Linked DNA regions of Oryctolagus cuniculus. The protein of the gene in region 1 interacts with the protein of each later gene in a pairwise test. Links are inferred from orthologs where the notes say so. Each region holds a gene or a part of one and is shown in the gene's direction. Other genes may lie near its edges.

Evidence for each region.
Region 2: the proteins of ATXN1 (region 1) and USP54 interact in binary tests that used the Homo sapiens proteins (3 or more experiments, as listed by UniProt). The link is inferred for Oryctolagus cuniculus from reciprocal best matches to the Homo sapiens genes ATXN1 and USP54.
Region 3: the proteins of ATXN1 (region 1) and UBQLN4 interact in binary tests that used the Homo sapiens proteins (3 or more experiments, as listed by UniProt). The link is inferred for Oryctolagus cuniculus from reciprocal best matches to the Homo sapiens genes ATXN1 and UBQLN4.
Region 4: the proteins of ATXN1 (region 1) and SYBU interact in binary tests that used the Homo sapiens proteins (3 or more experiments, as listed by UniProt). The link is inferred for Oryctolagus cuniculus from reciprocal best matches to the Homo sapiens genes ATXN1 and SYBU.
Region 5: the proteins of ATXN1 (region 1) and ZNF276 interact in binary tests that used the Homo sapiens proteins (3 or more experiments, as listed by UniProt). The link is inferred for Oryctolagus cuniculus from reciprocal best matches to the Homo sapiens genes ATXN1 and ZNF276.
Region 6: the proteins of ATXN1 (region 1) and HIVEP1 interact in binary tests that used the Homo sapiens proteins (3 or more experiments, as listed by UniProt). The link is inferred for Oryctolagus cuniculus from reciprocal best matches to the Homo sapiens genes ATXN1 and HIVEP1.
Region 7: the proteins of ATXN1 (region 1) and GCA interact in binary tests that used the Homo sapiens proteins (3 or more experiments, as listed by UniProt). The link is inferred for Oryctolagus cuniculus from reciprocal best matches to the Homo sapiens genes ATXN1 and GCA.

What each region holds. Positions count from the first base shown.
Region 1 is NC_091436.1:143,623,897-143,627,396, reverse strand, and holds part of ATXN1 (ataxin-1), read left to right. Parts: intron 1-1,835; 5' UTR 1,836-1,995; coding exon 1,996-3,500. UniProt on the Homo sapiens protein: Chromatin-binding factor that repress Notch signaling in the absence of Notch intracellular domain by acting as a CBF1 corepressor. Binds to the HEY promoter and might assist, along with NCOR2, RBPJ-mediated repression. Binds RNA in vitro.
Region 2 is NC_091446.1:64,751,690-64,755,722, reverse strand, and holds the start of USP54 (ubiquitin carboxyl-terminal hydrolase 54), read left to right. Parts: upstream 1-1,233; 5' UTR 1,234-1,370; exon of another isoform or gene 1,371-1,379; intron 1,380-1,405; exon of another isoform or gene 1,406-1,510; intron 1,511-4,033.
Region 3 is NC_091438.1:42,651,368-42,654,867, forward strand, and holds part of UBQLN4 (ubiquilin-4), read left to right. Parts: coding exon 1-58; intron 59-180; coding exon 181-296; intron 297-470; coding exon 471-657; intron 658-2,594; coding exon 2,595-2,747; 3' UTR 2,748-3,500. UniProt on the Homo sapiens protein: Regulator of protein degradation that mediates the proteasomal targeting of misfolded, mislocalized or accumulated proteins.
Region 4 is NC_091437.1:135,118,794-135,122,978, reverse strand, and holds the start of SYBU (syntabulin), read left to right. Parts: upstream 1-1,385; 5' UTR 1,386-1,860; coding exon of another isoform or gene 1,861-1,885; intron 1,886-4,185. UniProt on the Homo sapiens protein: Part of a kinesin motor-adapter complex that is critical for the anterograde axonal transport of active zone components and contributes to activity-dependent presynaptic assembly during neuronal development.
Region 5 is NC_091449.1:69,341,124-69,344,623, forward strand, and holds part of ZNF276 (zinc finger protein 276), read left to right. Parts: intron 1-352; coding exon 353-463; intron 464-531; coding exon 532-607; intron 608-895; coding exon 896-1,013; intron 1,014-1,300; exon of another isoform or gene 1,301-2,664; coding exon 2,665-3,035; 3' UTR 3,036-3,407; coding exon of another isoform or gene 3,408-3,500. UniProt on the Homo sapiens protein: May be involved in transcriptional regulation.
Region 6 is NC_091436.1:158,574,841-158,579,134, reverse strand, and holds the start of HIVEP1 (zinc finger protein 40), read left to right. Parts: upstream 1-1,494; 5' UTR 1,495-1,627; intron 1,628-4,045; exon of another isoform or gene 4,046-4,134; intron 4,135-4,156; exon of another isoform or gene 4,157-4,294.
Region 7 is NC_091434.1:79,323,349-79,327,381, reverse strand, and holds the start of GCA (grancalcin), read left to right. Parts: upstream 1-1,233; 5' UTR 1,234-1,434; coding exon 1,435-1,461; intron 1,462-4,033. UniProt on the Homo sapiens protein: Calcium-binding protein that may play a role in the adhesion of neutrophils to fibronectin. May play a role in the formation of focal adhesions.

The sequences.
Region 1 (3,500 bases):
GGCTCCAACTGGGCCAGACCAAAGCCAGGAGTCAGGAGCTTGTCTGGGTCACCCACATGGGTACAAGGGCCCAAGCATCTGGGCCATCTTCCACTGCTTTCCCAGGTACATTAGCAGGGACTGGATTGGACGTGGAGCAGCCAGGACTCAAACCAGCGCCCATATGGGATGCCATTACTTCAGGCACCAGCTTAACCCACTGCACCACAGCACCAGGCCTGAGACACACAATTTTTAGCCCTCATCTTCCTTCATGCATGGTCAGATTCATTAAGGCTGGGGAATCCTCTGTCATGTCATTTGTCATCTGTTGTGTCACTTGTCATTTGTTGTATCATTTCTTGGTGATACCCATTGATGACGGTGAAGCAAAATGAAAAAGAGTCAGTCAATCATTGACTGCCCCCAAAATGTCACCGATTAGGAAGAGGCAGTGTAAGCCTTATAGGAGGTACTTGGTTTTGGTGGTGCAAGAAGGGGTAGCAGAGGCGGAGAAGGGGGTGTGGCAGCAGGGATCTCACCATTGCGTCAGCGTAGACCGGGGTTGAATGCTGACGGATGCTGCATGTTTGTGTTTGTTTTAAAATCAGATCATAGAAAAGAGGGTCAGAGTGAGAGAACTGCCAGAACCAGGGGCCTGAGGTCTCCGATCCTATCCCAGAGCTCCCAGTATTACCACACAGGGCAGCACTGTGCTGCTGGGGCGGGGGGAACGCTCACTTCTGTGGCATGTTCAGTGGTCCCGTGTTGGCTCTGCTAACATTCCGTCTCGTGCCGGGTGGGCACCGGGTCACCTACCATTGGGATGACTTAGAGCTCAGAGGCCACTGAGAACCTGAGGCAAATGTCCCAGCGGTATGGGCTCCACCGTGTGCCCAGGTTTGCACACCCAGGTGTGATTCTTCTACAAGAAGTGCCGTCTTTAGCATCGGCGGCGAGTTGGCCTTTTGCAGGGAGAAAGGAGATGATGTGCAGAGAAAATACAGAGACAGCTTAGAAGGGAAGCAGGCAGGAGACAGGGACAAAGCAGGCGTGTAACCCTCAGGAAACTTGGAACGCGTCAGGCTTGTTATTGTTCTTGGCTTTTTAAACTGCAATCAAAAGTGCTTTGTAACCGTCTCACAGATTTCTTTTGGCGTTCTGTTGGCATCTGAGTGGCTATACTGGGCATTTTTAAAAACTTCTCGAGAGCAGAATTATTCTGGGCTGCCTCTCTTGAGTTGTGGTGTGTGTGTGTGTGTGTGTGTGTGTGTGTCTGTGTGTGTTAGGCAAGAGGGAATTACTGCTGAGTCCAGTGTGGACCGAGAGCCAGGTAGAACCCTCCAGGATTGTGGCTCTGGGACGTAACACCCAGGGACTGCGCGGGACGGCCCTGTGCAAGCCGCTCCTCCCTGGAGCCTGGCTCTTGAGGGCAGGGTCCAGCAGAGTCTCCCTGATGTCATTCTCCCTTGTGGGCTTCCAGCCAAGGGAAGAAGAGGTGAGGCCCGGAGCTGACGTTTCTGGAAGGGAAATTTGAGAAACGCATCATCTACCTTCTAAGAAGAAGGGGGAAAACCCCGAGAGGAGGAGAGAGAGGGTACTGAGAGTGTCGCAGGAGAGCTGACTCCATGCCAGAGTTTGTGCCGTGAGGCTACCCCTTGCTCATGTCCCCCCTCCCATTCCCTGTAATGCGAGGGCCATAATTGGGTTTTTGGAATTCATATTGAATCCCGAGGCTTAATCTTAATCTTGCTGAGAATGTTTTGTCCCAGTGCTGATATTTTGATGTCCTTTTCTTCCTTCCTCCCCTCCTCCTCTCCCCCACCCTTCTCACTCTTCCCTCGTCCTCTGCCCAGAATCCAGAGCTGCCGCTGGCCGAGTGCACCCACGGGGAGATGATTCCTCATGAAGAACCTGGATCCCCTACAGAAATCAAATGTGACTTTCCGTTTATCAGACTAAAATCCGAGCCAGCCAGCCAGTGAAGCAGTCACCGTGGAGGGAGGGCGGCGAAAGATGAAATCCACGCAGGAGCGGAGCAATGAATGCCTGCCTCCCAAGAAACGCGAGATCCCGGCCACCAGCCGGCCGTCCGAGGAGAAGGCTGCGGCGCCGCCCAGTGACAACCACAGGGCGGAGGCCGTGGCCTGGCTCCCTGGCAACCCTGGCGGCCGAGGCCACGGGGGCGGGAGGCACGGGCCGGCAGGGACCTCGGTGGAGCTCGGTTTACAGCAGGGAATAGGTTTACACAAAGCATTGTCCACTGGGCTGGACTACTCCCCACCCAGTGCTCCCAGGTCGGTCCCAGCGGCCACCACGCTGCCCGCGGCGTACCCTCCCCCGCAGTCAGGGACGCCCGTGTCCCCCGTGCAGTACGCTCACCTGCCACACACCTTCCAGTTCATCAGCTCCTCCCAGTACAGCGGCCCTTACGCCGGCTTCATCCCGTCACAGCTGATCTCCCCCACAGCCAACTCCGTCACCAGTGTGGTGGCCTCCGCGGCGGGCGCCACCGCCCCATCCCAGCGCTCCCAGCTGGAGGCCTACTCCACTCTGCTGTCCAACATGGGAGGGCTGAGCCAGGCCCCCCCGGGACACAAGGTTGAGCATCAGCAGCACCTGGGCAGGGCACCGGGGCTCGTCACCCCGGGGTCCCCGCCGCCCACCCAGCAGAACCAGTACGTCCACATTTCCAGTTCTCCGCAGAGCACCGGGCGCCCGGCCTCTCCTCCGCCCATCCCCGTCCACCTCCACCCCCATCCGACGATGATCCCACACACGCTCACCCTGGGGCCCTCCTCCCAGGTCGTCGTGCAATACACGGACTCCGGCAGCCACTTTGTCCCTCGGGAGTCCACCAAGAAGGCCGAGGGCGGCAGGCTGCAGCCGTCCATCCAGTCCAAGGAGGTCCTCAACGGGGAGATGGAGAAGAGCCGGCGGTACGGGGTTCCGTCCTCGGCCGACCTGGGCCTGGGCAAAGCCGGGGGCAAGGCGGTCGCTCACCCCTACGAGTCCAGGCACGTGGTGGTCCACCCCAGCCCCGCGGACTACAGCAGCCGAGATGCCCCAGGGGTGCGGGCCTCTGTGATGGCTCTGCCCAACAGCAGCACGCCCGCCACAGACCTGGAAGTGCAGCAGGCCACGCACCGCGAGGCTTCGCCCTCCACCCTCAACGACAAAGGCAACCTGCACCTGGGGAGGCCAGGCCACCGCTCCTACGCCCTATCACCCCACACGGTCATTCAGACCACGCCCAGTGCTTCAGAGCCCCTCCCGGTCGGACTGCCCGCCACGGCCTTCTACGCAGGGACGCAGCCCCCAGTTATCGGCTACCTGAGCGGCCAGCAGCAAGCAATCACCTACGCCGGCAGCCTGCCGCAGCACCTGGTGATCCCCGGCACCCAGCCCCTGCTCATCCCGGTCGGCAGCACCGACATGGAGGCGTCGGGCGCAGCCTCTGCCATCGTCACCTCGTCGCCCCAGTTTGCTACAGTGCCCCCTCACACCTTCGTCACTACTGC
Region 2 (4,033 bases), on another chromosome or scaffold:
ATGTTGTTTTACAACAGATCATCTTTCAGTATTACTTGAGTAGCTTCTGTGGCATTTGAGTTAGCAACTTCAAGGGTTTCTTTTATATAAACTGCACACCCATAATACCATTATCCAAAGTCACTGAGATTGATCATTTATTAGAGTCCTAGTCTGTGATGTTCAGTATGGTAGTCACTAGCCACAGGTGACTGACTATTGGACTCTTGAAACTTAACAGTCTGAACTGAGATGTGCCACATGAATAAAAAAGTACCACATTTTTGAAAATTCAGTATTTAAAAAAAGTTATTATTAGTAACAAAACTGATTACATGTTGAAGTGATATGTTGAACATGTTGGATGAAAAAAAAACTACTAAAAATCTGTTAAAAATGTGGTGACTATAGCTTTTAAATTGTATGAGGGTCACAACATGTTTCCACCGACGATACTAGTCTAAACCACCCTATTAAAGTTATTTAGGGACTTCAACAAATGAAAATGAATTCTCTATTTATTAATTTCTGCCCCATTTGTTCCTTTTCCTTATTACCCAAAGTTCTTTTCATGCATCTTCCGGTTCAGATGCTGCTCAGTTAGTCTGCATTTACAGAGATGGCTCTTCTACTGAGTGTTGAGTCAGTTGAAGGAACGATGTGTCCACAGGATGGCAAGCAACAATCGCAAAGGTCAGATCACACAGCAGTGCGGTTTCCCTCCGCGTCCCAGGCGACAGGATGCGACACACCTGTGCCAACGTTCGATTGGAGGGAAGGGGTGCTAGGGTAACACATTTCCTATTTTGGTCCGGCGATCTATTAGGGCGGGGCACTCACGGAGCAACATTTCTGAGAAGCCTTCTACAGACCACGGTGGAGAAAGAACACATGAAAACTTTTTGAAGACAGTTAATGAGATGGGAAGGTCAATTTCTGGCCTGCCCGCTCCCTCTCAAACTCCTCTACATGCGTTAAGAAAACGCCGAGAAAACAAATTTCAGCTACAGGAGGCTACGTTTGCGGCAGTTTAAGAAAGCTGTATCCCCAAAGTTATCCCAGAGTAGGGCCTGCCATATTCACTTTCCTCAGCCTGGACATACTGTCCCAGCTACACTAGTTCTACGACTTTCGGTCATTCAAGCTTCGCCCTCGCCCGCGCCCCACCTCCAAACCCTTCAAGCCACCCCCGAAACGCCTTGCAGCCGCCATTTTAAACAGTACTATCGCGAGATATACTTAGCTGTCTCCAGCCTGACTCATTTACTTTCTTGCGAGAGTCTCTTCTCGGCTGTTCTCGCTGTAGTTGAGGAAAGTGTCGCGAGAGCTGGTTGCCTTGGCTCCCTGTAGCTATAGCAGCCGCGGCGGTTAAGGATGCGGCGGCGGGAGCGGTGAGTGCGACACCCTCAGGGGGGCGGGGTCGGAGGTAACGGGGTACTGGCGGAGAGCTCCCGGGGACGGTGTGGGGAAGGTCGGGTCGCTGGGGAGTGGACCGGAGTGTGACGTGCGGGGAAGGACCCAGGTCCCGTAGGTAAAGGGACCGGGCGCCGGTCTGCTCTGGGGCGTGCGGGGAGGGCTGGAGCTTCTGAGAGGTCCAGGGGAGGGACCCGGGTGTAGTGGGATTCGAGGGGAGTGGGGCCGCATCGGGGAGGGGTGTATGTGTTGGGAGCAGGAGGTTTCCTGGGACTTGGAACTAGATAAAAGGACCCTGCTACGTTGGGGAAGAAGTGGGAAGAAACGGGGTACAGCGAGGAGGAGGATGTGTTGACTGAATGGGAGCACAGAGGTTGGGCCCAGTTTGTTTTTCGCTGGTTGGGGAGCTCGAGGGGAGGAGAGAGGATCAGACCCTTGCAGCTCCCCAGGTTCCGCTGCGCGCCAGGACCTGTATCCTCAATGGCGTGGCGGGAATGGTGGCGTCCCGAACCCTCCTCGCTTCCCTTCCTTCCCTCATTCCAAAAGAGATACCCCTATGGTCGCTCTGGCAGAGGGGAGAGTCCCGGGGAACTAGTGTTAGTTGGGAAGGTTCTTTGGGCAGAGATACCGAGAGTGGGCTCATGAATGATTGCTGCTGTAAAATAAAGCGGGGGTGGGGGCGGGAGAACAATTCTTGAGGGGGAAAAAAGAAAAAACCAAACCAAAACACTAAGGTGTGCTTCCTCTAAAGTGTGCTGAATTGGAAGAAGGGGGTGTGTGCTAAGATCGCGGTTCTTCCCGGATTCATTCAAGTGCGGAACTCCTTTACAGTGTACTTAGGGAATTATGTATGCAGTGTAAAAATCAGTTTAGATAATGTAGTGAAATAATGTGCAGTATGACACTTAAATCCTCCACCAACGTAACTGAAAAACCAAGAAAAGTGTTTCTACTGCAGCAGCAGGCTCAACCCTAAAACGAGAAATAGTTTTGGTTACTCGGATATAAAACCTCGGTTTCCCAAAGTGTGCCTTTTCGGGTTATTTGCCTTTTAAGAAATCAGAGGTTTTATTTTAGGAGACAGAGCAAGTTTTGAATGTCAATTTTTTGTGAAAATAAAATGAGTCCCAGGAATTGAAATCATTGGAAGAGGAAAACATGTGGTCTCTTAGCTTCAAAGACTGTTTTCTGGGGATGGGTTTGGAACACTTTACTGGTTAACTCTTATTTCTAGTGGAAACTAAGGCTTTAAGTCAGGCACAAAATAATTTTTTCATTTCCATTTATAAATTCAAGCTTTCTGACCATTGGTTTCTCTATCATTTATTTGTAGGTAAATTTGCAAGGGATAACCCCTCTTTTGATTATGTAACTGGGTTTTTCCATGGTGAGGTTCACAAATTCATTAATTAGAATAATGGCTTTTAAATCCTTCTTTAGCTTGCTTAGATGTGGTTAGTTATTGAACTCATTTATTTGATATGTGTTAAAGTAAAACTTTTAATTTGTAATGTTAGTAGCCAAGCTTTAAAGTAGAGTTGATTTTCTGAGGCAAGATAAAGCTTTGCTTAGCGGTTGGATTAAAAAAATTTCTGCATAAAGCCAACAACAAGCTTTAAACTGAATTTCTACTATGTATAGAGTACTATGTGAGGCATTTCACAGAAAAAAATAGATTTATTAATTCACTTATCCATCCAACAAACATTTACTGAGGTTTACTTTGTGTTTGAAATACAAATATTGGTAAAACTTGATCTCTTCATTGGAATTGCAGACTGTAGGAGGGGAGACTGATAGGAAAACAAATTATTACAATGTGTTAAGTACATCGTTTAACTCTGCGGTATGAAACAGGGTTCGGGCTCTGAGGAATTACATAGTAGTTAGGAAGAAAGAGCCGGCGCCGTGGCTCAATAGGCTAATCCTCCACCTTGCGGCGCCGGCACACCGGGTTCTAGTCCCGGTTGGGGCGCCGGATTCTGTCCCGGTTGCCCCTCTTCCAGGCCAGCTCTCTGCTATGGCCAGGGAGTGCAGTGGAGGATGGCCCAGGTGCTTGGGCCCTGCACCCCATGGGAGACCAGGAAAAAGCACCTGGCTCCTGGCTCCTGCCAGGATCAGCGCGGTGCGCCGGCTGCAGCGGCGGCCATTGGAGGGTGAACCAGCGGCAAAGGAAGACCTTTCTCTCTCTGTCTCTCTCTCTCACTGTCCATTCTGCCTGTCAAAAAAAAAAAAAAAAAACAAAAACAAAAAAACAAAAACAGGAAGAAAGAATTTTAAAACTTGCAAATTATTAAGCAACTTCTAAGCTGTGTTGCATTAATAAAACACTTAGTTTCTTAGAAATGATAAAAGAAGTTTTTAAGGAGAAAATTCACTAGACAGTTATAATTATTTATTTTTTATAATTATTTATTTATTTATGTTTTAAATATTTATTTACTTGAAAGAGTTACAGAGAGAGAGAGAGAGAGAGAGAGAGAGATTCTTCCATCTGCTGGTTCACTCCCTAGCTGGCTGAATGAGCTGGAGCTGTGCCAATACAAAGCCAGGAGCCAGGAGCTTCTTTCAGGTCTCCCACGTGGGTGCAGGGACCCAAGGACTTGGGCCATCCTCCACTGCTTTCCCAGGCCATAGCAGA
Region 3 (3,500 bases), on another chromosome or scaffold:
GGGGAACCCCCAGCTGCAGGAGCAGCTCCGCCTGCAGCTGCCCGTCTTCCTGCAGCAGGTGAGCGAGCGCCTGCAGGGGTGGAGGTGGAGGGCAAGGGGTGGCGCCTGAAGGTAGGGGCAGAGCTTGGCTTCAGGCTGCCACCTCCTCTCCTTCGCCTTTCTCTGCTTGCGTCCCACCAGATGCAGAACCCGGAGTCGCTGTCCATCCTCACCAACCCCCGCGCCATGCAGGCCTTGCTGCAGATCCAGCAGGGGCTGCAGACCTTGCAGACCGAGGCCCCCGGGCTGGTACCCAGGTGAGGCAGGGGGCAGGCAAGCAGCGGGGCCGGCTCCTCCTCCCCTGCAGCCGCCCTCTCTGCCGCTCGCGCAGCCTCCGTGTCCCGAGGCTCTGCTTTGCTGTCCCCTCCACCTGCGTTTCCTCCTGGCTCTCGTGAACGCCACCTCCCATTCTTGGGCCCTCCTGCCTGCAGCCTTGGCTCCTTCGGGATGTCCCGGACGGCAGCACCTGCCGCGGGCAGCAACGCCGGGACCGCGCCTGAGGCCCCCACCTCCTCGCCTGCCCCGCCGGCCACGTCTTCTCCAACGGGGGCTTCCAGTGCCCAGCAGCAGCTCATGCAGCAGATGATCCAGCTCTTGGCAGGAAGTGGAAACTCACAGGTGCACAGGGGCCGTGGGGGTTGGTGCAGGCGTTGAGTGGTGTGGGGGTGGGCAGCAGGGCAGCTTTGGGGTCAGCCAGACCTGCCGTTAGGTCCTGCTCTGCTGCATACTAGCCCAGGCTGGGGATGGATCCTCTGTGTGTCCACGGCGGGCCGAGGGAGGGGACGGGAACAGCACCTCCCACAGGTGGGTACAGCAGGGGCTCACTGTCATCTTCCTCACGACAACCCGGGGGAGGCTGCTGTTTTTCTGTTACTGTCTGCTCGCCAGTGCGGAGGACAGAGGCCCCGGGGGTTGCGTGTCTTGCTCATTTCCATAGCTAGTAGGCCAGGGAGCCAAGACACACCCAGGCCTTGTAGCTCCGGAATCCACACCGTGGCCACCGTGTCACCGCGGCTCCTGCTGTCAGAGGACTCAGGCAGCCTGCCCCTCTGAGACTGCAGAGAAGGCTGCTGGGAGGTGGGCTGGCGGGAGCCCTGAGCCACAAACTTGAGGCCAGGGGCTTGTACCAGGAGGAAGAGTGACGACCTTGGTGGGCCTCCCCGCTCTCCGCTGGCCTCCATGTCTCATCTGTGTGTAGCCGGCTCTGTGGGAGGCAGGGCGAGGCCCGATCCCGGGTGAGTTCCGAGGACAGCAGTGAGACGCCATGTGCAGCGGCTGGCAGAGGCTTTTGTCGGCAGTCAGGGGGCCGTGGCAGCTGAGCGCTGTGACCGGGGCGAGTCCTTCCTCTCCCTAGGTGACAACTGACTTATCTACCCCGGTGGACTGTGACTGCTCCTGCTGGCTCTCAGAGGCTTTTTTATTTTTTTTTTTAAGATTGATTTATTTATTTGAAAGTTATATAGAGAGAGATCTCGCACATGCTGGTTCACTCCCCAAATGGCTGCAACAGTCGGGACTGGGCCAGGCTGAAGCCAGGAGCCAGGAACTGAACTCCATTCGGGTCCTCCACGTGGGTGGCAGGGGCCCAGGGTCTTCGGCCATGTTCTGCTGCTTTCCACGGCTCATTAGCAGGGAGCTGGATCGGAAGCAGAGCAGCCGGGACTTGAACCAGGGCACATGAGGGATGCCAGCATTGCAAGTGGTGGCTTAATCCCCTGTGCCACAACACCAGCCCCTCGTGGTGTCTTTTGTTCATGATCTAAGCGAGTGCTTCCAAAAAACATTTCCAGGAGGTACCCATCGGTGTGTCAAAAATGGAAAACCTTCCCTTATGTAAGTCCCTGTGCTCACTGATCAGCTAAACACAATGAAGCAGCTTTTACTTTCCTCGGCCTCAACCGTGACCATGGCCGCGTCCCCGAAGGGTTATTTTAGCATGCGTCTTGTTTGAGCCCAGAGCATTTGGCTTTGGGAACGCCGGCTGACATCTCCCGAGTGTCCATGGGGAACAGTTAGGAAAATGAGCTGGTGCAGGCCTATCAGTTAACTTTGAAAAAAAAATTTTTTTCTAAGATTTATTTTATTTATTTGGAAGGCAGACTGACAGGGAGAGACAGAGAGGGAAAGAGATCTTCCACTCACTCACTGGTTTGCTCTCTAAATGACCACAACAGCCGGAGTTGGGCCAGGCTGAAGCCAGGAGCCTGGAACTCCATGTGGGTCTCCCATGTGGATGGCTGGGGCCCAGGTACTCGGACCGTCCTCCACTGCTTTCCCAGGAGCATTAGCAGGGAACCAGATGGGCAGCAGAGCAGCCAGGACTCAGCACCGGCCCGCTGTGTGGGATGCCCGCGTCACAGGCGGCGGCTTCCCCGTGAGCTGTCAAGGCCCTTCCCCACGTTGTTATTCCCGTTCTGCTGCCTTGGGACCTGGACTCCTCCACTCCCACCCCACCCCGCGCCCCTGGCTGACTCAGAGGACTTAGAGACCTGCTGGTCTTAAAGACCCTTTGGGGCTGGTCCTGTGCCCCCTTCACAAGGCCCTGTCTCCTCCAGGTACAGACGCCAGAGGTGAGGTTTCAGCAGCAACTGGAGCAGCTCAACTCCATGGGCTTCATCAACCGGGAAGCCAACCTGCAGGCGCTGATCGCCACCGGAGGGGACATCAACGCGGCCATCGAGAGGCTCCTGGGGTCCCAGCTCTCCTAATCCCCCAGCCCTGCCTCCACGCCGGCGTCCGGGTCTCTGTCCTCCCCGCCCCCTGCAGCTTGTCCCCTCTTCTTCTCCCCTGTCCTCTGCAGACAGCAGGGCGACTTTGGAGGCAGGGGCCCCAACCCCGTAGCTCTGTCTCCACCTCCAGCAGAGCCGTTGAGAGCGTCTCCCAGTGGGGCCGATCGGCCCTACCTCTTACCCCACACCGACTTCTGTGGCCTGCCACCTTCTCCAGAGGCGCGGAGGCGAGGAGGACCCGACCCCCTGGTGCACGGGAACAGTCTTCCATCAGTCCCTCTGGGGTCTGCCTTGTCTCACGTTCACTCGCTCTCTTCCCCCCCGCTCCGCCCCGCCTCTCCCAGCCAGTGCTAGAATCTCCCTCTGAAGGCGAGAGCCGGCCAGCTGGGCCGTGACTCTCCTCCTCCACCCCATCCCAGTCACTTCCTCACCCGGCACTTTCATGGGCTCCACTGGGCCTCCAGGGAGGCGAGGAGCATGCCTGGTCTCCCTGTCTGAAGGGGGAGACCAGATGGAGCCCTCTTGGACCAGACAGTCCAAGCCCTCCCAAGCTCTGCAGCGGTCCCTTAGAGACTGGCGGAGCAGGGGATGAGGGCTTTGGTTTTTGGAGGAAGGGAATGGGCACCGCCTGTGGAGGGCTGCAAGCTGGAATGCGCGTGGAGGAGGAGACGCAGTGAGAGCGGTGGCTAGGAGGTCAGGCCTGCGCCTGGCAGGAAGGCAGGGGAGGTGCTG
Region 4 (4,185 bases), on another chromosome or scaffold:
TTGGTGTCTGAACCTCAAGTAGAAAAAGGCAATGATCAGATAAAATGGCTGGGAAAACAATGCAGAATGTGTAATGCATTTAACATGTGGCAAGCAATGTAGGCAAATGGCATTGGTGGGCCTCAGTTGTAGAAACTTGCACTTCACAGTGCAATTCACATATCCGTGAATGTTAAGTATCTTGAGCTTTAAACCACTGTCTGCTATTAGTTGAGTATGGTGAAAAGGGGAGGCAGGAAAAGGAGAAGGCACAGGGGTAAAGACAAGGATGCTGCTCTCTGGAGCAGTCCTCTGTATGGACCAGCCCTTTTCAGAGGGAAAATTGAAGATTAAGGGTACACAAATAACATAACAAGAAACTACCTGGATGAACGTTTAGCCAAACTCTGGTGGCTGCTCTTTGACCCTTAGCCAATTTCATCATGAAGCACTTCAGTGAAAAAAAAAAAAAATCAATGATCCTGATGGAGCTACTTGGGACTTTAGCAATTCTAAGGGAAGAAAGCATCTTTGCACCAGTCTCCTCCAAAATTTACCTTCCCCCAAGAGTAGGAGGTTGATGATTTGTTTTGCATTTGGACTAACAAACCACAACATAATTTTCCTGAGCTTTTCTTCAGCCTTATCTATAATCAATACAAATTACGTTTAATAAGCAGTTGTATTTTGTTGGCCCAATCTCTACTACCCTTTTTTTTTTCTTTATTTGAAAGAGTTACACAGAGAGAAGGAGAGGCAGAGAGAGAGGTTTTCCATCAGCTGGTTCACTCTCCAATTGGCCACAATGGCCGGAGCTGCCAGTGGAAAGCCAGGAGCTTCTTCCAGGTCTCCCACGTGGATGCAGGGGCCCAAGGACTTGGGCCATCTTCTACGGCTACTCCCAGGCCATAGCAGAGAGCTGGATCGGAAGTGGAGCAGCTGGATCTCGAACCGGCACCCATATGGGATGCCAGCACTGCAGGCCACGGCTTTACCCATTATACCACAGCGCCCGCCAGGTTATCTCTGGGTCAAAGCTCACGTCACTCAGAGACACCTTGTTTAGATTTGGCGCCCACGGTCCTTGGTGAAGTTGGAAATCGATCGGGGCTGTAGATCCGTGTCCTCGCCGAGACAGGATGACCCCAGATCGGATGTGGTCCCCGGAGACATTTTCCTAGGGAGGAACTGTTCTAAAAGGACGTCTGAGCAGCGCGCTGCGGTTTTCAGTGCTTGTCATCTGCAGCGCGGAAACAGTGTCCTCGTTAAGTGGGCTGAGCGAAGCCCGCGAGGAGGGCGGGCGACTGGCGCCCGAGCCCGCACCGCCCCGAGGGACGCGCACTGGGTCGTGAGAGCACACAGACCCTTCCGCCCTTAGCTGGGGCTCCCTCAACCGGCGGGAACCGGGAGCCTCTGCAGTGCGCCACCCCGCACCCGGCGCTTCAGCAAACGGAGCCTGCAGAGCTCTCTGCCCCGGCCCTGGCGACAAGGACCGTGCCTTCAGGCCTCGATCCCCGGGAACGCGACCCTGGCGCCCCTGGCACGCGGCCCTCACAGCGCCCCGGGCGCTGCGCTCCACCTCCCGGTGCTGGCCCTTTGGTCCCCCGCCCTTCTCCCCACTTCGTCTGCAGCCCCGGCCTCCGCAGCCCGGCTGCCTGCCGAGGCCAAGGAGCCGCGCGGACAGAGGCGCACCGGCAGCCGCGGCACCACGTGTCCAAGCCGGGCTGGCGCGGCCGGAGCGAGCCGGGCCCGGCTCCGACTCCCCGAACCTGAGCGAAAACCAGCAGCTACGCGGGGTGCCGCCCGCGCCCGCGCCCGCGCGCGGCCTAGCCGGGCCCCGGCCTCCCGGGCGCACGTGGGTGCCTCCACCTGGACGGCGCGATGCGGCCCTTCTGGCAGAGAAAGGGTAAGAGGGGCGTCCGCGTGCGAGCACAGGAGGGCGACTGTACGTCTTCGGTCCAATGACGGCGGAGATGGGGCGCTAGGACCCCGGCACCGCCCCTTCCAGCAAGGAAGCTATCCAGGGTGCTGCTCCTGGACTCACGGGAGGTCGCGGGAACTGGGGTGTCCAGGGGTCTCAGCGGAAGGAGGCCCAGGGCATCGCGTTCCAGCAGTGTGGCTGGAACTGAGTGGCCAGGCTGGACTCATGGCGACAAGCTGGGTTGGCCGTGCCATGGTATTGGCCGTCGGTTTTGGGTCTCCCTGAACTGGTTGCCCTCGGCCGTGGGCTTGGAAATGGTGCATTTTGATTAGGAAGAATCAGCAAAGAATTGACGGTCTACAAAAAGCTTTGGTGGATCTGTGTAAGATGATATCCCCTAATGTGTGTGTGTGTGTGTGTGTGTGTGTAAGTAAAAGGGTTAAGTGGAGAAAGGGCCCATTTTTCGTAGAGTTATTGTTGAAGGGCACAGCAGATGAGCTCCAAACAGCCTCATGGTAGGTGGTATCAATAGGTTTCAACTTAAAATAGGAGTGAATTGCAGAGCGGAAGAGATTTGTCAGCTGAAATTGGTGCGTGGGAAGAGATTCTTAAAGCTTTAAATGGAAGAATTCACCTAGGGAAAGCAGCTCTCCTGGTGTTTTATCTTCTCCGGTGTGGAACAGGTATCGCCTGACAAGGAAAGCAGAAAACTGTACTGTGAGATTCTCGCAGCGGCTTCTCTCTGGTCTTGACTCCAGGCGCAGGGCTGGGTAGCAACGGGCAGCTGCAGCCTCTGAGTCTCGCTTCTCAGACAAGGGCCCGATTTGAACCCCACAGCCTACAGTCTTCAGCTTTGATCCTTGCTTCTTCCTCCTCGAAGGGTGCGATGGGGGCCAGAGGAGTCCAGGGTTCTCTATGCCAAGTTTTTACGCTTGTACATTTGAGAGAACAGCAGCACCCCTCCCCTTAAAAGATGAATTCACACGAAATCGTGTTTTTTAATTTGCTTCAGATTTCAAAGCAGCAATACAGTATCGTAGTGCAGCTTTTGGTTACTTAGTTTGACAATATTATTTTAATGCAAAATATTTGAAAATATTATTTAATGCAAAATTTAAAGACGCTGTTCAATCCAAGATGATCTCCATTACACTTAAGCCATATTTTACTAACTAGATTTGCAGTTAACAGTCTTTAAGTGATATCAGAATTGAAAGTAAATAATCAGATATTTACTCAATATCTTAATATTAAATATATATAAATATATAAATGTAATATCTTAAATGCAGGTGCCCTAAAAAAGTAGGTTTGAAGCTTAATTTTTACACTGAACTACTGAGGGTGGCAGGGAGCAAGTGATTTGTTCAACAGCATGAATAAGTGCCAGGGGCAAACTTAGAACCAGATATCTCCTAATACCCAGTCATGTGGTCTTACTTTTTTCTTTTCATATTTTAGCAAAAATATTAACACATATATGCAAAATAATTATTTTACAAACCAGGCATTGGTGGGCCTGGACACAGGGTGAGAAGAGTGTATCTATAAAGGGCAGCATAAGAGAGATCTTCATAATAACTATAGTTATTATATAGTATGTATATATAGTATAGTACATATATATAGTATGTATATCTTGTTTGTGGTGGTGGTTACACAGATCTACACAGGCGATGGAAAGTCATGGAACTATGTGCACCGATGTCAATTTCCTGGTTTTGATATTATGCTATAATTATGTAGGCTATAACCATTGGGAGAAGCAGGCAGAATGTACATAGGACCCCCGTGTATTACCTTGGCAATTTCTTGTATGTCTGTAATTACTGCAAAAAAAAAAAAAAAAACTTTCTCTAATGTCATTAGCTGCTTGTCTAACTGTGAATGTACATATAATACCTCATTTACTCTATATGCTGTCTTAAGTGTTTAATAGATACTTAAAATATAGTGATGCAAACTAATACCTGCAATATCTTTATTGATATTTAAAGTACTATTATTCATGCTGGGATATCAGTATAGCCTGGAGGTATTATATCACAAATAAGCGGTAGGCACTATTTCAATTTATTTATTTAAAATTTTGGAAAACAGGAGAAAGTGTTTCCTTTAAATAGTCATTGTGCTGAGATATCAGCTTGGAGTCTTCCTTTCTTTCTTCTTTCCCTCCCTCCTTCCCTTTCTTTCTCCCTCCCTCCCTCCCTCCCTCCCTCCCTCCTTCCTTCCTTCTTTTCTGCCATGAAAATCCTTAGGGCTTCAGCCTACAGTTGGGCTCACAG
Region 5 (3,500 bases), on another chromosome or scaffold:
TGCTCAGCTGTTTCCTCACGCACGGTCATTGTAAAGGGACTGACCCCCAAAGCTTCCCTGGGTCACCGTGTTCCAGGTCTCCGGCCAGCACCCCCTTCCCCCGTGCAAGTGTGTTCCTCTCTACTGCACTCCGCTCCTCCGCCTTTGGGGTACATTCTCCCCCACCTTCCCAGGGGCTGGGCCAGGCCTTCAACTTCCCACCGAGAGCTGGTATGGCTTGGTGGCTCTAGCTGGAGTCAGGGCCCCTCAGTTAGGGAAGCTTAGGGAAACCCTGTCCCTTGTTCTTAAACAAGGACGAGAAATGTTTGCGAGTAGACCCTGGACACATCACTCATCTGGTCTTTGTTGTCAGGGTCTCTGGTAAGAAGAGTGAAAGCAAAGAAGCCAAGAAGACCGAAGAACCAAAAATCCGCAAGAAACCCGGGCCCAAGCCCGGCTGGAAGAAGCAGCTGCGCTCTGAGAGGTGAGGGGTCCTCAGCGGGGGCTGCCCTGCCTGTGGCAGCAGCGCCGCCACACGAGCTGTCCTTGCAGGGAGGAGCTGCCCACCATCTACAAGTGTCCTTACCAGGGCTGCACAGCCGTGTACCGAGGGGCTGACGGCATGAAGGTGAGGCGCGGGCACCCGGTGTTGGTGAGCCTGGGCTCCTGCTGAGCCAGGCGTGGCCTTGGGCCCAGGACTCGCGGGAGCCTGGGCTGAGGGAGGCGTGCGGCCTGGGACGGGGTGACTTAGAGCCAGCTCTTCACTCCGGAGGGGCTCGGCGGTGTGGAGCCGGTGCACCTGCATCTGCCCGCCTTCCAGGGTGCTCAGCCCTCGCCTGTGAGGACACTGGGGGGCCTGTGGGGCGTGGGGCTTCGGCCAGGGAGGCACTCGGGTCTCTCGCTGGCCCCTTTACAGAAGCACATTAAGGAACACCACGAGGAGGTCCGAGAGCGGCCCTGCCCCCACCCCGGCTGCAACAAAGTTTTCATGATCGACCGCTACCTGCAGCGCCACGTGAAGCTCATCCACACAGGTACCTGCTCCGATGCTGCCCTAGAAGCACCCGAGTGGGGGGGGGGCGCCTGGGGGGACTTGGGAGCCTTCCAGGAGTCTCAGGTGCCCACTCAGGTGGGGGCTGCAGTCTGAAAGACAAACCCACCAGTCCTGCCTGAGGTATGGTCTCTAGGTTCAAAGTCATGAAAACTGACAGCACAGGAAACTCTAGTGCACTTCTGGGAGTTGATCAGATACATTGTAGAACCCTTTTCAGATTAGAAAATAGCTCATGTTCATTATAGAAACTGAAAAATGAGAAACGCCTAAGATGGTGAAAGTTTATTTGGAAGGCAGAGTGTGAAAGACAGACCTTTGTTTCGTCTGCTGGTCACCAGGCTGGGCCTGGAACTCCACCTGTGGGCACAGGGACCCAGTACTTGAGCAGCAGCACCTGCTGTCTCCCAGGGTGGAGGCAGGAGGTGAGCCAGGCACGCCGACGTGGATGCAGGCGCCCACCGGAGCCCGCGTGACTTAGCTGTGTGGTTCCTGCATCGTAGACGTGCTGTGTGACACAGGCACTGCTGCTGTCCGTGCCGTCCGTGAGGCCAGCAGTCCTGGGCCGCGCTCCGGCCCGCTAACCGAGGGCCCACTGCAGCTATTCTGCCGCCCAGCCAACATGGAGTTGACAGCTGACCCCAGAGTCGTCTTCATCAGCTCTCACGCATCCCAGTGAACGGCTTTCCTGTTCTGCTCTGAGTGTTCTCACGCGGGTCTCCCGATGCAGTCGTGTTTTGGGCTATGTTCTTCCAGCCGTGCGTCTCAGTCCAGTTCCGGCGGTCACACCTGCTCTCTAGTGCCCGAGACACTGTAGATCCAGGTCTTGGAAGGAGTCTGGGGAGCTGCTGTAGGTATTGCACAGACGTGCGGGCGGCACACTGCGGTGGGGCGTGTGTGCCCCGCGTGGAACTGGCTTGTTTCCACAAGTTGATGGAGCCATTTATACGCCCCGTCCGCACTGGTTGGACAGGTCATCACAGCCTGTGCCCCCAGTTACAGACAGTCTCCCCTGCCCCTGTGCTGTCCACATCCATGTAACATGGAGACGTCTAGAGCTGGGATGCCTCCTCCGTGAAGCCTCTCCTGACTGCCTGTCTCTAGGCTTCGGAGCTCATGAAGGGGTCTTGAAACTGAGCTTGAGGGGGTGGCATTGTGCACCAGGTCAGGTTGTCACCGGGACAGCCACGTCCCACATCCGAGGGGCAGCTGGGCAGGAGTCCTGGCCGTTGTTTCCGATCCAGCCCCCGGTAATGTGCCTGGGACCCCCAGGATGGAGTTTGTGGTCTAGCCACAGCTGCTGGGGCTGTCTGGGTGAAGCAGATGGGAGGCCCCTCCCTCTGCCTGCCCAGTCACCAGGGGTGGGGACGGGCCGAGTCCCGCCTGTGCTGCCGCAGCACCTTGGGAGAGCGCGGGCGCCCGCATCAGACACCTGGGAGGAGATCCGGGCTGTTGCATTTTAACTGTTCAGACGTCTGGAATGTACAAGGGAAGGCTGGACATAGGCAGTATTTTCGAGCAGTTTGGAAGTCTGTTAGAACAGGCCCTCTCTCCGGGCTGCAGAGGCCCTTGCCTGGGCCCGGCTGCTCTCGGTCCTGGCGCCAGCCCCGGTCCTCCGCCCGCCTGTCTTGCAGAGGTGCGCAACTACATCTGTGACGAGTGCGGGCAGACCTTCAAGCAGCGCAAGCACCTCCTGGTACACCAGATGCGCCACTCGGGAGCCAAGCCCCTGCAGTGCGAGGTCTGTGGCTTCCAGTGCAGGCAGCGGGCGTCGCTCAAGTACCACATGACCAAACACAAGGCAGAGACTGAGCTGGACTTCGCCTGCGACCAGTGCGGCCGGCGCTTCGAGAAGGCCCACAACCTCAACGTGCACATGTCCATGGTACATCCTCTGACCCAGACCCAGGACAAGGCCCTGCCCCTGGAGGCAGAGCCACCACCCGGGCCACCACACCCCTCTGGGACCACGGAAGGCCAGGCCGTGAAGCCTGAGCCCACCTGAGGACCGACGTGGGCCGCAGGGCCTGTGAGCAGCCTGAAGGCAGCAGGGGTACGGGGGACTGCACACAGCACCCCAGGGTGCAGGACGCCCGCTCCCTGGGAACCCATGCTATCTATACCCCCCACCTCCGCTCCGCGTGTGGGCGTGGGGCCTGTGGGGCCTGTGGGGCTGTGGGGCTGTGCAGAGCTCTCGCAGCCCTTCTGCCCTCTGCTGTGGGCCAGTGGTTTGTTGTCATCCCACACTGTAGCGGCTTGGGCGCCAGACTATAAACCATTGCCCCTTTTCTCCACTAAAGCGATTCAGGAGATTTGTAATCCACTTCCCAGTGCGACACGTGCGACGCAAGCTCCGCCCTAGGCTGGGACAAACTATTCACAAGGTGCCGGGTCCAGTCAGAACAGCTGGGGCTCGCGGTAGAGGCTGGGGTCTGCCACGGTCAGCGGCTGCCTGCCCAGAAGGGCGGTG
Region 6 (4,294 bases), about 15 Mb from region 1:
CTGGGTAAGCGCTAATCACCGCCCGTTGCCACTGTCACCGTTACTGCTAACACAACTCTACTACGGCTTTGGAGCCAGCTCCCACAGCTATCTGAATTCATGAGCGACAATGACTTTCCTTAAAAAGACCATTCTCAGTCCAGATGTCTCCAAATGCCTACCAACTGTTTGCACCAGGATGCCTTCATGCCTTCCAAATGATGGGGGACTGGGGGCTCTTCTCTGGTTGTCTGTGGCTGCCTGTTGTGCCTTCGTGGCTCCTGGCCGGACAGCCCACCGTCCCTGTCAGCCTGGGCCAGCCCAGGTGTACAAGGACATCTCCGGTTTCTGCATAGCTTTTCCGTAGCTTCCTTTTCACTCTCAGAAGCACCGTGGTTTGAGCGTCACTTGTTTCACTTGGACTTTCTGCTCTAGGCAGTAAACCCATCACCCGCAGTTCCCTTGCTCTGACCTTCCAGCTCTGCCCCAGGAATGCTGTCCTCAGATCATTGCCAAAACCCGAACTTTCTCTCCTCCCAAATCCTACTGGGAACTCAGCCTCAGGAGGGAACTTCCTCTGATAATCCTGCCCTCCACCCAAGAACCCTTTCAGCAACCATGTAAATAACCCTGTATAACTTTAATTGGCTCTGTTTATAAGCTGCTTCTTGTATCTTTTCCCCCCCTCTAGGTATTTTTCCATGTGTTAATCCTGTCTCTATTAATTTGTAAACTCCCAGAGGGCAAGGCCTGAACCCAGGCTGGTGTTGGCATCAACTGGATAGACGGGTACAGCTGAACTGAAGACAGGGCCATCCCTCTTGGCTACTAACCTGCTTTTTTTAATATTTATTTTTTTAAGCAGCCTTTGTTAGCAATTTGTCAGTGTTGGTCCTCAGACTGCTAACCCAGCGCAAAAATACAACCAGTTTCTATTAAGGTCCAAACAGGATCAAACCCACAGTCCCAAGGTCTCCACACTGTTAGAGGGAGGGTGTGCGACTCATTCTAACCCACCTGGGGGTCTCAGCGTGTCGGTGTGCAGCTCACTCGTCCCTTCTTCTAGGCTGCTCTGAGACGGGACTAACGCTCACTTTCAACACCGAGATCTGAAAGCCGAACAAAGCCCTCGGAAGCAGGCACCACCACCATATTCTAAGTTTGTGGTGTGAGTGAGGCGGGGCGGAGGTTGGGGAAGATGACTTTAAGCTCATTTTTCAGTCCTAACACATGGCACAGGGGCCCGCTCCTCAGGGCCAGGAGCTGGGCGGAGAGTCCACTTGCAGCGCAGGTAACAAAGGCGAGCCGGGCGGATGCGGCCGGGTCCCCGCGGCGGCAGGGGCTCGCGCCTCGGGCCACCTGCTCTCCGCGCGCGGGGCGCGGGCGGGCTGCGCGCTCGGCTCCCGGAGCCGAGCCCCAGGTAGAAACCCGCGTAGGCGGTGCGCGCGATAAGATCAAAGCCCCGGGCCCGGGCCGGCGAGCGAGCGGGGGCCGGGGCCGGCGAGCTGGCGGGCGAGGCGCCTCCCCCGAGCGCTTCCTCTCACGCCCACTTCCAGCCGAGGGGAGGCTTCGGGTGTCTGCTTTTGTTGTTTTTAAAAAATTAAAAGTTGAAGCCTCGGAGGAAAGACTTTGGCTGTGGCCGTTGTGGGTAAGTTCTGGTCCCTGTTCTTTTGTCTGGCGCCGAGCTTGGCAGGAGCCCGGGCGTGGCGGGGGGCAGAGCGGGCAGCGCGTGTGGGGATGGTTTCTGTCGCCAGGTCGCCCAGGGGAGGGGGGGGGAGGAGGGAGGGGAGGAGCAGGGGGGAAGGAGGAAGAGGGGAGGAGGGGGAGGAGCAGGAGGGGAGGAGGAGGAGGGGAGGAGGAGAGGAGGGGGAGGAGGAGGGGAGGAGGGGAGGAGGGGAGGAGGAGGAAGCAGGGAGAGGAGGAGGGAGAGGAGAAGAGAGGAGGAGGGAGAGGAGGAGGAAGCAGGGAGAGGAGGAGGAGGGAGAGGAGAAGAGAGGAGCAGGGAGAGAAGGAGGAGGGGAGGAGAGGGGAGGAGGGAGAGGAGGAGAAAGGAGGAGGGAGAGGAGGAGAAGGGGAGGAGGGAGAGGAGGGGAGGGGACTCGGCCGCCGGACGGGGAAGCCCAGCGCGCGCCCCGGCTGCAGGGCGCAGGGCCGAGGGGAGGGCCGGGCGGCGTGACCCGGCGGCGGCCGGCGGGGAGGAACCTCCGGGATCTCCGCGTGGCGGCGGCGGCGGCGGCGGCGGGCGGGCGCTCGGGGCCGCGCGCTGGGCGGAGGGCCGGGGCCGCGGGGCCGCGCCAGGGGGGAGCCCGAGAGGAGCCCGGGCCGGCCGCCGCGTGGGAACCCAGGCCGCGGGGCGGGCGCGGACGTGCTGCCCACCGACTGCCCTCCGCAGTCCCCTCACCCCAGCGGGGGCGGGTAGGGGTGGAGCTTTGGGAGCCCCGAGCGGTCCCTGGCCACCTGCATTTGTTCCCCGGGTTTTGACAGTTCGGACGGCAGTCGCCCATTCACTTGTCCACTGCGGTTCCAATGACGTCTTCTCCACATTCCGCTTGTTTTGGGAGGCTCCACTGCTTTGCCAGGAAGTCCATGCAAGCTACTTTATAACCTAGCTGGGCAGTTTTTCTTTCCTGATACTTACGGATGGAGAGTTGTAGAATTAAGAAAATAAATTGCATTTAGAAAATTAGAAGACGTCCTAGGAGGCTGTTCAGTGGTGTGTGTGCATTGCAAAGCCAACTTGAACGTCGGCTTGCTGCCCAGGAGAACGAATTGAGAAGGCGAAATTAACCTCTGATAATTCGAAGTTGTACGTGTGGGTTGCTAAGAAGTTCAGGGCAGTGCTCAGTCTCTAATAAACACGGTGCTGACGCTGGATATCTGTGTGGTGCTGGGCAAGGCTGGATCGGTTTGCGTTTTTAACCTCCCAGATTACCAGCTCGCCTCTCTATCCGGATTCTCCACCCCGACTGCCAGGCTGCACTTTCTCATTTGAGAGCATGGTTGTTTTTGGATTCAAACCGCCCAGGTGGGAAGTTGCCCTCGTCTGCTATCGCATGGAAAATTAAAACTGCATATTTCACTGTAGGCTCAGAGCATCTAGAGGTCATTGAAAACGGACTCATGTGGACGATCCTCGCTCCTACCAGCAAGTCTACTTTTTTTAGCAAGCACATTTCTCCTTTTCCGTAACATTCTTTGTGGCTACAAGATCGCCCATTACTGAGTATTCCATTTTTAATCACCCCCACTCCGGCGCTCCGAGCTTTCCTTAGGATTTCCCTGGTCAGCCTCTGCAGGAAGGAACCTAGACACCTTTGTGGAAGCCCAGGGGCGCGCAGATGGCCCGGCTGTTTTAGTGGCTGTATGGCCGTCAGCGTTTTTTAATTCCTTAAAAGGGGAAAACAGTTTGGTTATTACTTTTTTTTTTTTAAGCATCCAGTTTTCTGCTTTACCACCATTGCTGCTAAGTTCAGGGCGGCTGGCTAAGCCACTTTTGCCTGCTTCTTTGGGTGTAGCATGGGGTCTCTGAGCCCCAGACTCCTAGCATTCTTTGGGTCTGAACCCCGAAAACCGGCTTCGCTAGCCGCCTCTCGCAGAGGTCCCCCACGGCGCTCCAGCAGCCGGGGTCCCCAGCGCTGGTTCCTCGGAAGGGCTCCTCGCTGCCCTCCCTGGAGCTGCGCGCGCGGCTTTCCGGCCCCCAAGGTCCGCGCCCCCAGCCCGCACGGGCCGGGAGGGGTTAATCGCGCTCGCAGCGCCGGCCCCGGGAAGCACCCGCGGGCCCGGGAGCGGCCTGTGGAATAACCTTGGCTTTCCTCTCTCTTTTAATAGAACATCCGCCACCCCGGCGCGGTTTCGGTTCAGGGTTAAGCGCACGCCGCCTTTCCACCCTCTACACCGGCTCCCCGCCCCCTCCCGCTCTGTGTGTTTTTTTTCCTCTTAAAGTTGTTTTTCAAAGTTAATGAGTTTCGAGTTTCACAATGATTTTCCCCAACCCTCCACGCGTTGCTGAGGAAACCCCCTTGGGGTCCCCCCCCCCCCGCCTCCCCATCTCCCGGGCCTCCCCCTCCCCCAGTCGGCCCGGGCGAGGGGCGGGGCTGGGAGACCCCATGACGTCACCGGGCCGGCCCACATCCTGCTTCCGAAAGTAGAGAGACGGTAAAGAGAAACTACGGCCCCGCCCGGCCCCGCCCCCCTTCCCGGACCAACCGCCCCCCGACCGACCGCGCGCCCCGGCCCCCGCCCGCGCCCGTCCCCCCGGCGGCGGCGCGACCCCGGCTCCCGCCCCTCCCCCGCGGGCCCCCCTCCGGTCCCTGCG
Region 7 (4,033 bases), on another chromosome or scaffold:
TTCCAATACCTTATTATTTGCTGCCTCAGTTAGTCACTCATATTCAAGGAGATCCTCCTACCAAGTTTAGTTTTGCTACCCTCTCTCCATTTAGTTATTAAAGTCAATCACTTAACTCTTTTGGGCTAACATATTTCTAACTGTGTTAGAGGAACTAACACTTTCTCAAGAGTGGCTTGTACATTAGCAACCCTCCTTTCCTCTGCCTCTTCCTGAGTCTTTCACAAGGCCCAACATATTCCTCTTCTGTTTTGTAGTGGGGAAATAGTTACATAGCTCTGTAAGCTTGATTTCCTCTTCCAGTAGTTAACACTTCCTTGCAGTATATTTTAGTGAAACATGTTAACCCTTGTGTTATTCTTCAGAGATTATTTTAAGCGGTGTCCTGATCTTTTTATTGTTTTTAAGCTGAAGCTACATTGTCCTGTCCTTTTAAAACCAGAGCTACAAAATTTGAGTTCTAGAGAAAAAGAAGACTTGCCCATTTCCATTACTTGGTAAAACAAAGTAATTGTGCATTTTACTTTTCCCCAGATGATAGACATAAAGCTGTCCGTCTCTTAGATATAATTAGGACATGTGTCTTAAGAGTTCTATCAAAGGTTGTTACCAGTAGTCACCAACTAATACACAAGATACCCTGTATATTAGCAGCACAAAAATAGGAAATAATTTTTCATTGTAAGTTTAGGTGCTGTAAAATATCAGAGATGTATTTATTCTAAAAAATCATTTGAAAACCAAATTGACCTCAGACTACAGATAATCTTTTCTTAAACCTAGGCATTAAGTGGGTTTTAGTGAAGAAGCAACTGTCCTTGGTGTACAAGTATGATCATGGTTTCAAAGTGTTGATATCACATTAACACTACCCAAAAGTAATCGCAAGTTACTTGACACGTTTTGAGATTCACAGATGTATATTTAAAGTTTAGCTCAAAAAAGCCGGGAAAAAAAACGCTCGGAAATAGATTAAAAGATTTCATCCACGAACTGATTCTGGGTTTGTAAAGAGAAAAGACACTTCAGGAGCCTATGGCTTGGACAACATTCCCAGAGGGCTTGCAGGGTTACAGGGTGGAAAAGGCTGTTTGGGGATTAAGAGGAGAGGGCAAGAACTCGAGCGAATCAATAGGAGCAGAGCAAAGGTGGGCTGTGCTGGACGGGCGGGATGTAGCCAATCAGGGATTAGGAGGGTGGGATTAGCCTCCGGGAAGGGGCGGGCTCCATCAAGTGTGAGTTCCGAAAGGCGGGACGTGGCCAATCGGAACCGGGCAGGACGGGGCTGAACGCCGGGAGGGGCGGGCCTGGAAGGAGTGAACCGCGCGGCCGGTGCTGCTCTGAGTCACCTGCGCCTGCACCTGTATCTGCACCTGTACCTTTCTTTCAGGAGGGCGGACGCTGACAGGAGGGCTGAAGGTTGCTCGGCTCGTCATGGCCTACCCAGGATACGGAGGAGGGGTGAGTCCTGGCCACTAAGCCTCCGTCTCCGCCCTCGCGGGACGGGGTGCCCCTGCGGGCGGTGCCCACCTGCCAAGTCCGCCCTCGGCCCCTGCTCCCTTCTACCGCGTCTGGTACTCGGCGGTGCCGGGACTCTGCGCGGTGATGGAACTCGCCCTCCGGGCCGAGCCCGCGGACAGACATCGAGCCCTTGGTGCTCCGAGAGGCGTCCTTGTGGAATCGAGCGTGTGATTTGTTTTTAGAAATTTCTTCCCTGAAACTGAAGAGCTACGCACCCTTTTCTTCTTCCAGTAATCTTTTGTGGTCCCACCCCCACCTCAGCGTTTTGCAAGAGATCCTGTTTGTGAATGTTTCCGGGACTTCTTGTTCCTTAAGTTGCCTGTGAATACAGTTAAGATGCACTCTAAATGTCTCCTTTACTCCTACACCAAGGGAAATCTGTTTTTCTAGAGAAAAACATCACCTTTGAGACTTAGAAGTTGGAATCGTATCCTGGAATCCAAACTTTCAGTATTTGATCTTAAAAGTGAGGTGTGGGTTAAAGATAATGTATTTTCTATTTTTTTCTGTTTCTTCTAAAAAGAAAAGAATTGTGCTTTACTGATTTTAATATAGGAGTTGACATTAACAGTGCTTGGGTCCCTTCCGCCCACTGGGGGACCTGGGTTGAGTTCTAGACTTCAGGCTTCCGCTGACCCAGTTCTAGATGTTGCAGGCATTTGGGAAGTGAATCAGTAGATGGGAACGCTTTCTCCCGCTCGCTCGCTCGCTCTCCCTCCATCTCCTCTCGCTCTCACTCTTCCACAATTTCTCCCGCAAATAAATCACACAGATTGAACTGTTCATGGAAGAAATAGAATTAAAAAATAAATTTAAAAAGTGAAAAGAAAATTCAAGTTTGTAAATGTTGTGAAAGAATCTTTTCATGTCTTTCTAAAATTCATAGTAGCAGATATCAGATCATTATAGTGTGTAGATAAAAAAAATACTTTCCAAGGAGTAATGTAAAGCTTTATTTGTGTATTTCAATAATCATAATATGTTAGGCATTGCATCCTTTGCATCTAAACTTACAATGAAGACCTTATATTTCAACATAAAATATGGGGGTATACTACTATGGAAGGGGAAGCCAAAACATTTAAAGAGTATTGGTGATGGTAAGGAACACTAAGAGAATTATATAATATTTTCCTTTGTACTCATTACTTAGAATGAAAGTGTTACTCAGATATGCAAAGCATTGGCGGGCGCCATGGCTCACTTCACTAATCCTCCGCCTGCGGCGCCGGCACCCGGGGATTCTAGAGCTGGTTGGCGCGTCGGGTACTAGTCCCAGTTGCTCCTCTTCCAGTTCAGCTCTCTGCTGTGGCCCGGAAAGGGAAGGCAGTGGAGGATGGCCCAAGTGCTTGGGCCCTGCACCCTCATGGGAAACCAGGAGGAAGCACCCGGCTCCTGGCTTTGGATCGGTGCAGTGCCGGCCCTAACGGCCATTAGGGGAGTGAACCAATGGAAGGAAGACCTTTCTCTCTGTTTCTCTCTCACTGTCTATAACTTTGTCTCTCTCTCTCACTGTCCAAAAATGCAAAAAATTAGAAAAATAGGTAAAAAAGAACGCTGATGGTGTCCTGATGGCTGTTTAACTTCTCACCTGTTTCAGTCTATTATGACTTATTACAGCTTATATGTGCAGAATTCTCCAAGATTATTTGATTTTAACTGAAGTAATCCTCACAAATGGACAAGCAGTTTGAAAAGTTCTGAGAAGAAAACTAAGGACTGAAAATGACAATTCAAAAGCTGGCATTGTGGCACATTGGGTGATGCCTCAGCCTGTGACTCCAGCATCCCGTATCACACTTGTTCCAGTTCTGGCTGCCCCACTTCCCATGCACCTCCCTGCTGACGTTCCTGGGAAAGCAGCAGAATATGGTCCAAATTCTTGGGTCCCTGCTACTTTCATACAAAATTCAGTCGGAGTTCTAGGCTCCTGGCTTCTGTCTGGCACAGCCCCAGCCATTGAGACCATTTGGGAAGGTAACCAGTGGATGGAAGATCTCTTTCCTTCTCTATCTTTCTCTCTCTCTCTCTGTGTCACTTTGTCTTTAAAGTAAATAAATAAATATTTAAAAAAATGCAAAACAACGTGAAAATGTCATAGTTGCCACTTTATCCCAACTTTTTCTTCAGTCACATGACTAAGTAATAATAATGATGATCTAATGATCAGTTTTAACTCATTAAAAATTATCAGGAAGACAACTTGAAGCATGCAATTATATAAACTAATTTTAAGGATTACCTTATTAGCCACAAATCCTAGTTTTTCTCCACATGGGCCCTTCCGTGTGGCTCTTCATGGGATGGTAGGTGTGTCCTAAAGAGAAATAGGAGATGCCCGTCTTCTTAAAATCTTCAGACTGGAATCAACATGATGCTCTTTCTACTATATTCTATCTGAAACAAGCAGCTTTGCTTCCAGGAAGTGGAGAAATTGTTTCTGCTTACCACCGTCTTAAGCTGACCCGCAAGCCCTAAAATTACTGGTTTCAGGAAAATTAATGCTGCAAAT